3 linked regions of the Rattus norvegicus genome follow. The protein of the gene in region 2 purifies or fractionates together with the protein of the main gene of each other region. This does not show direct contact. Links are inferred from orthologs where the notes say so. Each region holds a gene or a part of one and is shown on either strand. Other genes may lie near its edges. The genes, in order: Pak1, Rhou and Nck2.

Region 1 (3,650 bases), on a different chromosome or scaffold from region 2:
AGGAAGAAGGAAGTAGATCTCTGAGTTGGAGGGCAGCCTTGTCTACAGAAAGGGAGAGTGCCAGGACAGTCAGGGCTACACGGAGAAACCCTGCCTCAGTCTCTCAAGAGCCAAACCCCAGACTTCAGCATTGTTTATTCCCACTATGATCTTTCTGACTTGGAAATGTGAAAATGTGCCTATCCTCTGCTGACACTGCTTCTCATGGGAACTTGCTAGAAAGTTTATTACAGCATCACAGAATTCTAGAGATCTAACTACAATGAGGAAAAAAAGTATTATTTATGCTCCTTTTTTCTGTTTATTTTGTCTAAAATTATGATTATTTACTGGTTTGAAGCAGGGTCTCTTGTATCTCAAGCTGGCCTGGAACTTGCCATGTAATCAAAGATTATCTTAGACTTCTGACCTTCCTGCCTCCACCTTCCCAGTGCCAGGATGGCAGGTATATGCCACCACACTAGGCTTTTTGTCTGGAGTTACTTTATCCTAGAACTTTGCTGGCTTGCCTCTACACGTCATTTAGATGCATATTCAAATCAAGGAAGAAATCTTCTCTGACTAGCTATCTGAACCACACCACTACCTCCTTAGCAATGTTAACTTCCTCCATTCACAGTACACAAATCAGGAAGCAAGGACAAATGTGTGTCCAAATAAAAGAGATGAAGGAAAATAGTATGTGCTAGAAGAGTTATAACTACAGATTGAAATTATGACTGTTTAAGTAGATACTTCTGGGTACTTTCTAATGTTTTTGCCATGGTCAGAACAGTTAGCTTCAGAGAAAAAAGTCATGATTATAGAAATTATAAAACACAAGCATACAAAGTGAATGATAAGTCCCAGAACTAACTTCTCCTACTATGACAGAGCCCATGCTGAAGCCTCTTTTGGGTGTGAACTTTTATGGACGGTAATATGGAGGTCACTTCCTGTTTGATCTTTGGCCTTACCTCTCGGCACACAGCTGCTATCTGGCCTTCATCCATACAGGTTTCTGTCACCACATCTGTTAAGGAGCCTCCGGCCAAGTATTCCATGACAACCCATAGCTCATCTCCCACAAGGTAACTGCAGGAAGACAGGTATAGGGTGAGAAGGAACAGTCAGAACACATTATGCCACTGAAGTGAGTTTCAAAACCTAGGGACCTAGAATATAAAGAAAACTATCTCAGCCAGCCTTTGAAGAAAAATTTGGAGGGCAGAATCAGTAATTTTAAGTAGCTTAAGTATATACCCAGAAAAAACAAAGCATACATGGTCTGTGAAGTCCCCCACACACTAAAACTAAAAATACTAGGTTAAAATATAATATCACATAGGGGCTGGGGATTTAGCTCAGTGGTAGAGCGCTTACCTAGGAAGCGCAAGGTCCTGGGTTCGGTCCCCAGCTCCGAAAAAAAGAACCAAAAAAAAAAAAAAAAAAAAAAAAAAAAATAAAATATAATATCACATCTTAGCAAATACCAAAGGATAGCTCCTAAAATTAGAAAGACTGGCTTTATTCCCATGCCTGCAAAGCATCTAGGCAGTACACACACGTGAAAAGGCAGGGACCTGGAAGCCATATTACCATCAAAAGGGAGGGCCACAGGACCTCCTTGAGAGTTCTATTAGATGATTTGAGATCCATAAGATAATTATTGGATCTTGTTCAAGACCCTAGTCCAGCACAGCAGATACCAATATGATAACAATATTTACTTAATAAATCCTTGAGTAAAATAATATGTTAAATATATATATATATAATATATAATTTTAATATAATCCAGCATAACATATGTAGCAAGTGAAAGGTTGGTAATAAATCTTTTAAAAGCTGTAAAGTCTATACAGGTTTACTATGCTGTGAAAACAGACGTGTGTTGGCTTAAGGTATGAGTTCTGTCATCTTTTCTTCATCCTAAAAATGGGTTTCTTACTCAGTAGGCGAGGACACTTGAGATAGTTTAACACTTACCTCAAACAAAGGTGATATTTTAATTCTGTTCTGTAATTTTCTTCTGGTGGTGCTAGCTCAGAGCCTCACACAGGCTAGTCAAGCATTCTATCTCTAAGCTACAATAGTAATCACACCCCAGCTTGACAGTAGTTTAAGGTGATAGAGACTAAACAGTATATGGTAAATATGGTGGTGCATGTATTAATCCCAGCAGTCAGGAGGTTGAGGCTGGTAAGCTAAAATATTTTGTATTTCCAGTTTAATGCAAGTTTATATGGGCAGGAAATGGTAATAAATTTCAGTTGACCACAAACTTACTCGTAGTTAACAATGAGGCAGGCATTGGGGTGGGGGATTGCAGATGGATGAGCTTATGTTGAGTTTAGGAAAACAAAGAGTATCATTCCTTCTATGGCAGTCAGACTTCAGAACAACACCCGATGGAAGTGAGCCTCACATTTTAAGAGAATATAGACAATAAGAGTTATTCAGGAAGGTGAGCAGGGTAAGGAAATGCTTGGAATACAGAATGAAACAAGGACATAAGGCAGATGGGCTGAAAAGGCCTACTTCCCTAACCAGAAGGCACAGTAAAAGAATTAGTTGCTAGAAGCTGAGGGGTGGTGGGGTTAACCATCACTCAGAAGGATTCCAGCATCAAGGAGCTCAGCACAGAAAATACTTAAATGGAAGCGGTTCATCCTCTCCTTTAACACTTAGGTTCCAAAGGCCTGAAACATCTGTGACAGAACCCACCCATGCCATACCTGTCCAGATAGTTCACAATGTTTGGGTTTTTGTTTTCCCTCATGACCAGGATCTCATTAATAATGAGTTCTTTCTTCGGCTGCTGCTGAAGGTTCATCTGTTTAATGGCCACCTGAAATAACAGTAAATCCAATGTGTACCAAGGCCACAACATTTACTGCGCACACATCTAGTACTAGACCTTAAATACTAAGGAAACAATAATGAGCTAGACATGGTCTTACCCCTAAACTATTCATAACTTATCAATGTTAAATGGCTTCGAAGGAAGTCTCTTAGCCAGTGGCATTTAACATCTTCTCAAAGACTGCTGGAAATAAATGTTCTCAGGTGCTACTCAAAACCTACTGAAAAGCACAAACTGTTTTAATGAGCCCCTGTGCTATTCTGATATACATCAAAATTTGATACCTCAATGTAAAAAAACACTTTAAAGAGTCAGTAGAAAAACAGTTGGTACTACCTATTATCCTAGCACCCAGAAGGCTGAGATAGAAGAACTGTACACTGATGACCAGCCTGGTTTCATAGTTTAGACGGTCTTTTCAAATGACAGAGAAAAACAAAACAAACTACGAGAAGTTCAAAGAAAGTCAATTTAAAAAAATAAAAGAATAGTAAGTTCTGAATATGGGGCTGGAGAAATGGTTTAGCAGTTCCTAATGTTTATATGCAAAAAGGATCTTCATGGACTTTGTGTTTATATAAGTCAAATACAATCCCACTTAATACAAACGATAAGGATACTTTAGATTCCTAGGTATTAGGTACTCTTTCTAAAGTGTTGACAAATCTGTTATCTTTCTTTCTCTTTTCTTTTTGAGGCAGAGTCTCACTATGTAGTCCTGATTCTGACTTGCCTAAAACTCACTAAGTAGACAGGCTGATCTTGAACTCACAGAGATCTGCCTGCCTCTGCCACCCAACTGCTG
Region 2 (3,650 bases):
AACCTTTAATTCAAGCACTCAATGCAAACTCGGATCTCTGTGAGTTCAAGGCCAGCCTGCTACAAGTCAAGTTCCAAAACAGCCAGGGAAGTTATACAGAGAAGTCGTGTCTCGAAAACAAAAAACAAAACAAACAAAATGCAGAGGGTCGCCACCATCCCACCAAGCCCAGAGCCCACAAGGCCGTGTTGAGTAAATGGAATAGTAGATGCTTTCCCTGAACACAAGGAAGCTTCCTAACCTGCCCAGGCCAACGCATACCTTAGCTTCCATTCTTTCAGTAGAATACACAAGAGCAGCTCTGTCCACAGGTCAGAATTTATTTCATAGCATCTCATTTATAGCATTTTTCAAGTACAAGATCCTGTCCGACATCTTTGACACGGGAAAGAGAAGAGCACACGTTGGTAAGGCACCTGCAGAGGAGCGAAGCCCCCCCTTTTGGCTTGAGACTTCTGGGTAGCTGCTTGCACGTCTGTCGAGCAGAAAACAAAGTCATCGAAAGTTTGCTCTCACCCAGGCTTGAGGTGACGATTTTGGAGCCTGCTACAGTGTGGCTTTTCGGGTGAGGTGAGTCGGCCTACACCGAGGCAAGGCTGAAGAGGCACCTCTCCACACAGCTCACAGAATCCTCCCAGACACCAGGCTGAGCCTCCAGCCGCTTTTCAGCTTTGAAGAGAACCAACTTTAATCCCACCCAGGCACATGCTTTTAAATTTCTCAGCCCAAACTTCTATTTTCAAAACGTAAAAATGCAGGAAAACCTCAAGTACAGTCAGACCTTACTTATGACTCCACAGGATGGAGGAACATCGAAAACTTGCCAGTCAGTGTCAACCCACTACATTTGTGGCATAAACAGTCCAGGGGTATGCATCCCAGAATAGTGTCCAGAACTCGATCACACAGCGTCCTTTTTACGACACTTCCCAGAGGCAGGAGGTCCAACAGTCCTGGCCCATGACTTCAAGTTTGTGTCCTCAGATGCTCATCTCCTTGGTCTCGACTACATTGGCTTTTTTATTATAACATTTAAAATTAAATAACTCACTCTTCCCCACCCACCCTCTGTACACAGGGCAGGCAAAAGCCCCACGTGTAGGCTGGCTCTCCAGACAGCCACGCACAATAGGATAAGCTCAGTCACCAGGTCAGTTACAAGCATTTTCATGAGTGAAACAATGTTGCCACTCGGGCCAGAAGGAAACACATCAGGAGAACATGGCTAATATCACTGGCTAACAGTTCATGTACTCTAGTGGTTCTGCCATTAGCCTTTTAATTATGTAAGAAAGTCTTCAGTCCTATTTACCAGCAGGAGGAAGTCTTTGACCTGAAGTACGGCCTGCTCTTTTACTTTTTTTTCCTATAGAAAAACATACGGTTGATTTTTTTTTTTTAAATAGTAAGAAAAAATTCACAGACAGAAAAATTTTTGTTACCAGGTGGCCATAAAGAGGTTTCTTGCCCGCAGTGAACTGATAGCTGTGACCCACGTGTGGTTCCTATGGCGTCTTGGAAGTACCTCCAACCCTGTGAAAGTGCATTCCTCACACAGGGCTGTCTCAGAACAGTCAGAAGACCCTCGCCTTACAGGACAAGTGCCACAAGCGTGACCCCCAGTGAGAAGCTGCTGGGTGAGGCCTTGCATATACCTGCCCCCCTAATACAGTGCCTCCCTAGTCACAGGACCCTGAAGGCACTGGGGTTCAAAGTGTGTACATCCCACATGTTAAGATGACCTGAAGTCCTGAAAGCTAAGAGCATTCTCTGATCTCAGCACGAGTCGCTCCCTGAAGAAAATGTCAGATGTGCACCCAGCCCTTGCCCCCCAAGAGGCATTTCCACCATTTTCACAGCAACAAAACTGGTCACGTGATTTTAAAAAAAAAAAAAGGAACAAGCAAGTGTACTGTTCTGTCAACACAATGCCAGTAGGCTGTGGGATGTTTTGGTTGTTTTAAAATCCTAAGTGAATCTGAGTAAACAAACAGAAGGGATGGGCACGAGGTTTTGTAAGCAGAAGCCCCTCTCTGTTTTCAAATGTTTGCTCTTATGAAACTGGGGATGGTTTGTGTGGTTTCAAAGTTCGCACCCACTCTCGCCAAGTCTGATGCACACGCATCCCGCACTGAGCACTCAGTAGCCCTTAATCAGGAGAAGGCCCCGTTCTCCTTTGTCCTGAACAACGAAACAGGACTTCATGCTGACACCCCAGCTTTGAAGAGCCCTTTTCATATGAAATATAAGTTAATCCAGAGCTCTAAGTTCTCAGACTTACGAGGAAAAAAAAATCTTAACTTTCAAAAAAATTTTTTAAACATATTTTGCATATGAATCTCAACCTGGGCTCACACACACAGGAAGTTGAGGGCGGAAGAGGATGCTTGGAGGGCTCATCCTATGACCACAGCCACATTGTAAAGAGCTGTTGCAGCTTAAACACTAGCCGTTTGAGAAGAGTCAGGCCAGGCAGCAATATTTCCTCCACCAAGACTTGGACAGGTCCCGCACCTTATCCGGGGTCCTGCTTTTAGACTTCTTTGGCTGTTGCTGGGAGTCTGAGTGCTGGATACCAGCAACAATGGCAGCGTCGAAAACCTCCTTGAGGTTTTTCTGAGTCAAGGCTGAGCATTCAATGTAGGAGACGGCTTTGACTTCCTCGGCGCACAGCTTCGCCGCCTCTTCCGGCACCGGCTTCTCTTTGCACTTGTCCAGTTCGATGAGCACTTTGACATCTTCCCTGAGGTCCGACTGTGTCCCGACCAGGATGATGGGGGCCTTAGGGCAGTGACGTCGGATCTCCGGAACCCACTTCTCGCCCACGTTCTGGAAGGATGTGGGACTTACCACGCTGAAACACAGCAGGAAGATGTCCGTGTTGGTGTAGCAGAGGGGCCTCAGCTTGTCAAACTCATCCTGAAACCAAGCACAAAGCCCTCGTTAGCTCTTGCCACCTTAGGAAGCAACCTCAGGGCCAGGATACTCAGAGAAAACCTGTTTCTATAAAGAGGGGCCAGTGTCTCGGGCCTGCCCTGGGACACAGGTGCAGCCTTAACACTCCAAATACGCTCTTGGTGACCGTGACTACCACGTCATATGCTATAGAAAGGCACTTAAAGCAGATGAGCTCTGGCCCACAGTGACCCCAACTCTCTTTTTTAAATCCTGGAACTTGACTCTTCTGAAAGTCAGTATTCATCCACACTGATGCCCGAGACTTGACCTCTTAAACTCTGTTCTATTAACAGAACTCCCTTCTGAGGTCCAGCCCTGCTCTGCCTGACCACAACACACAGTTGTGGTCACAACTTCACAAGGATGTCGATTCATCCCCCAGCCCCAGCACACAGTACTGACGCATGTTCCTCAGAAACATGAAAGACTTCAAAGTGAGAACAGGGATCTATGTAGACCACTACCAGTGGCAGTTTAAAGACACCCTCCCTCACTGTCACCCAGACAACGGTTAATCCATTCTTGTTCTGGTTGTATCTTATCTTTCTTCCCTTCCTCTTACTTTTCTCCCTTCCTTCAGCTAAGCTTCCACACCGTGTTTCAGACAGACAACATAACTGCAGAGTATGCACAACCGTCCCGTGGTACAGAGACCTGGAGCAGGTCAGTGAGGATGGATGTCCTACAGTCTA
Region 3 (3,650 bases), on a different chromosome or scaffold from region 2:
AAGGAAGAAGACGGATTCCCTGCAACACCCACCACACTCAGTGTGATTTTGTTTTCAATTTTCCCATAGTCCCCTCACCCTGCCCCTGCTAATGAAACTAATTCTCTTCCAGTAACACACAAAAAAGCCTACATACACTCAGCCCAGGTGATGATACTGGCTTACTTCCACAACAAACCTCAAGTGGCGAGCTGGCCTTGTTGCCTATAGACAACTTTATACTTTACCTGAGGAGGCAGCAACTGTAAACTGTCAGCTCAGTTCAGTTGTCCTTCCACAGAGCCCTCCCAATTATATTCTCAGACAATCTGAGGCAGTAACCATGGTTGGTGAGGACAATGTACACACTCAGGTATGCTTCCCTACCACTGAGGTAGCGAACCCCTGTCTGATCAGGTGCTATGGATTACTGGGGTTCGAATGTATCTCCTTACCTTGTGCTGAATTTAATCCCCTACAGAGGTAGTAAGAAAGAAGAAACTGGTTCCTATAACAGTGGTTAGAAGTGGGGCCTTTGGGTGATAGCAGTTGCATAAATTCTGTTTACAGAGGGAACAGTATCAAAAACACACACATACAATTCTTTATCCCTCCTGGTCTCTTGCCATAAGGAACTTGTACCATACTGAAAATTTGCCAAGAAGGAGATATACATACAGCCACTTGACTTTGGACCATGAGTGTAAGCCAAATTAAGCAGTGTTCTTTATATAGCCTAACCTCAAGCAGTTTGTTACAGTGTCAGGAAATGAACTAATATACCAGAGGAAGACAAGAGGCACAGCTATGAAGAATGTGATAACCAAACAGGGCTTATGGAGGTATCCATCTGAGAGACTTCTGATGTCATGTTTCTAATCACCCCAACTACACATTAACCAACTGCCCGAAACTGTAGAATAAACTATGCTATCACCGAAGACGAGGGGAGAAGTGCCTTCTCCTTCTGTGTGCAGAGGCCAGCATGGGAATTTGTAAGATAAAAGGTGATACACTGACAGAAAAAGCTACTAAACTTGTCATGATTCTAAGTCAGGGTCCTCTACTGTCTGGATACAAGGAGACAGACAGCTGTGTAGGGGTCCTTAGCACCATGAGGAGGAGTTGATTTACCCAAGATCCCAAACTGTATAATTTATCCAGAGAATGATTAGTGTTTATCTTAATCTCAATATAAAACCCCAGAAGGTAGGAGGCTATCAACATTAATACCGGCCCCAAAACACATACACTACATACACATACACACACACATGCACCACATACATACACACACTCCTACCACACATACACACACACAGCACATACACATACACACACACACACACACACACACACACAGGCACCACATATATACACTACCCACACTCCTACTACACATACACACACATAGCACATACATACACACACACCTATACACACACTATGCACCTACCATATACAACACACCCTACAACTACTCCACACACACAAACACACTGAATACACAGCCACATACATACACATACTATACACATTCCTACCATACACACACACATATTACACACCTACCACATACATATACACCCCACAACATATACACCTACTCCATACACACAAACATACTGAATACACAGCCACATACATACACTACACACATTCCTACCACACACAGCACATACACACACACTATACACCTACCACACACATACACACATACTACACATGCAAACACATACTACATATCTAACACACACACACACCTACACACACACTACACACCTACCACATATAACACACCCCATAACATACATACATACCTACTCCATACACACAAACACACTGTATACACAGCCACATACACACACACACTACACACATTCCTATCACACACAACACGTACACACACACTATACACCTACCACACACACACACACACACAACACATGCATACACACACTATGTATCTAACACACACACACACACACACACACACACACACTACACATGCATACACACACTACGTATCTAACACAGACACACACACAGAGACACAGACACACACGCACACACACACACACACGCACACACACTACACATGCATACACACACTACATACCTAACACACACACACTACACATGCATACACACACTACATACCTAACACACACACACACACTACACATGCATACACACACTACATACCTAACACACACACACACACTACACATGCATACACACACTACATACCTAACACACACACACACACTACACATGCATACACACACTACATACATAACACACACACACACAACACATGCATACACACACTACGTATCTAACACACACACACACACAGACACAGACACAGACACACACGCACGCACGCACGCACGCATGCACGCACACGCACACTGAAGCAGCAGTGCTAACCCTGGCTGTTCCTGTGGGACGACCTGCTATTCCAGGTGGGGTATGGACACTCACCTAGCGTGTCCTTGAGATTCTTCACCAGGGACCCCTTCTTCAGGCTGTTCTTACGCTCCACGTAGTTGGAAGGCACGTAGCCTGTCCTGTTGGCCGCATTCCTCACCCGCCACCACGTCTTGGAGTCGTCCAGCAGCCACAGCCGCTCGTTCTTCCTGATGTCGAGCTCCTGGTCCTGCTGGGCAGTGTAGTCCCACTTGGCTATGACAATGACTTCTTCTGTCATCTTTCATGGAGCCCTTCTGCCAGCAAAACATTTAAAGATGCTCATTAGCTACCTGAACCCCTCTCCTCTGACAGATTTGAAAAGCTGTCAACGACAGCTCCCATGGCCACACTGCCCCCGGTCTCCTCTCAGCCCCTTGAAGCACTTGCCCTTAGAATGACCTACCCGTAGGCCCTAGTGCTGCTGAGAAACAGCATCTTGTAATCAAAGCCTGCAGCCCCTCTCAGTGCACTAAGCACACTGCGCATTTACTGACGCTAGATGCGAACTTGGGGGCAAAACACTCAGAATAATAATCTCATGATTAAAGCGCTCACTTGGCAAGTGACACCGCCCTTACAGCTGATAGGTTTGCACTCCTATTTTCAGCACATGCTGAGGATTTTGAAGATATTTAATAAATATAACACACCCAAACCACTCCTATAAACTCAAATTCAATTAATGTACTACCAATGCACTGAGGTATTTGGAGATGGATGGTAAAATACACCAAGAAAATTTGTAAAAACACTGTTGAAATGTAAACAAAGCCTAGACAACAGCGACGCGCCCAGGCTAGCTAGTTTTGACAATTCAATATAATATGTTAACACTGGAGAAATTAGCTAGGGGCTAATTTCCTGCATAAATAACTGTACAGAACTATTCCTATAAATATAAAATCATACCGTAAAACAAAGCAATACTTGGATATTCACTTCTTTATTCAAATTGCCCAAACTGGGAAATAACCAAAGATACCCTCCAGGAGGTGAACTGCTAAACCAATTGTCTGGTTTAAGGCAGTGGGATGTTTAAGTGCTAGGGAAAGAGCAGAAGAAAATGCAGACGCTTCCTAGACCTGAAGGCAGGCAGCGAGGCCAGAAAGGCTGGGCATGTGGATTTGGACATGGGGTCTCCTTTGAGCAAACTTTACTGAAGTCCCTGGGAACCCTGTTCTCTGTAGCTTTTGTGT

The links.
Region 1: the proteins of Rhou (region 2) and Pak1 purify together in Homo sapiens (co-immunoprecipitation; 5 studies listed by BioGRID and IntAct, with this or other methods). This does not show direct contact. The link is inferred for Rattus norvegicus from reciprocal best matches to the Homo sapiens genes RHOU and PAK1.
Region 3: the proteins of Rhou (region 2) and Nck2 purify together in Homo sapiens (co-immunoprecipitation; 3 studies listed by BioGRID and IntAct, with this or other methods). This does not show direct contact. The link is inferred for Rattus norvegicus from reciprocal best matches to the Homo sapiens genes RHOU and NCK2.

The regions. Positions count from the first base shown.
Region 1 is NC_086019.1:161,623,435-161,627,084, reverse strand, and holds part of Pak1 (serine/threonine-protein kinase PAK 1), read right to left. Parts: intron 2,831-3,650; coding exon 2,718-2,830; intron 1,075-2,717; coding exon 957-1,074; intron 1-956. UniProt on the Homo sapiens protein: Protein kinase involved in intracellular signaling pathways downstream of integrins and receptor-type kinases that plays an important role in cytoskeleton dynamics, in cell adhesion, migration, proliferation, apoptosis, mitosis, and in vesicle-mediated transport processes.
Region 2 is NC_086037.1:68,545,384-68,549,033, reverse strand, and holds the end of Rhou (rho-related GTP-binding protein RhoU), read right to left. Parts: intron 2,920-3,650; coding exon 2,464-2,919; 3' UTR 301-2,463; downstream 1-300. UniProt on the Homo sapiens protein: Binds to and activates protein kinase PAK1. Plays a role in the regulation of cell morphology, cytoskeletal organization and focal adhesion assembly during cell migration. Also stimulates quiescent cells to reenter the cell cycle.
Region 3 is NC_086027.1:53,293,935-53,297,584, reverse strand, and holds part of Nck2 (cytoplasmic protein NCK2), read right to left. Parts: intron 2,709-3,650; 5' UTR 2,693-2,708; coding exon 2,467-2,692; intron 1-2,466. UniProt on the Homo sapiens protein: Adapter protein which associates with tyrosine-phosphorylated growth factor receptors or their cellular substrates. Maintains low levels of EIF2S1 phosphorylation by promoting its dephosphorylation by PP1.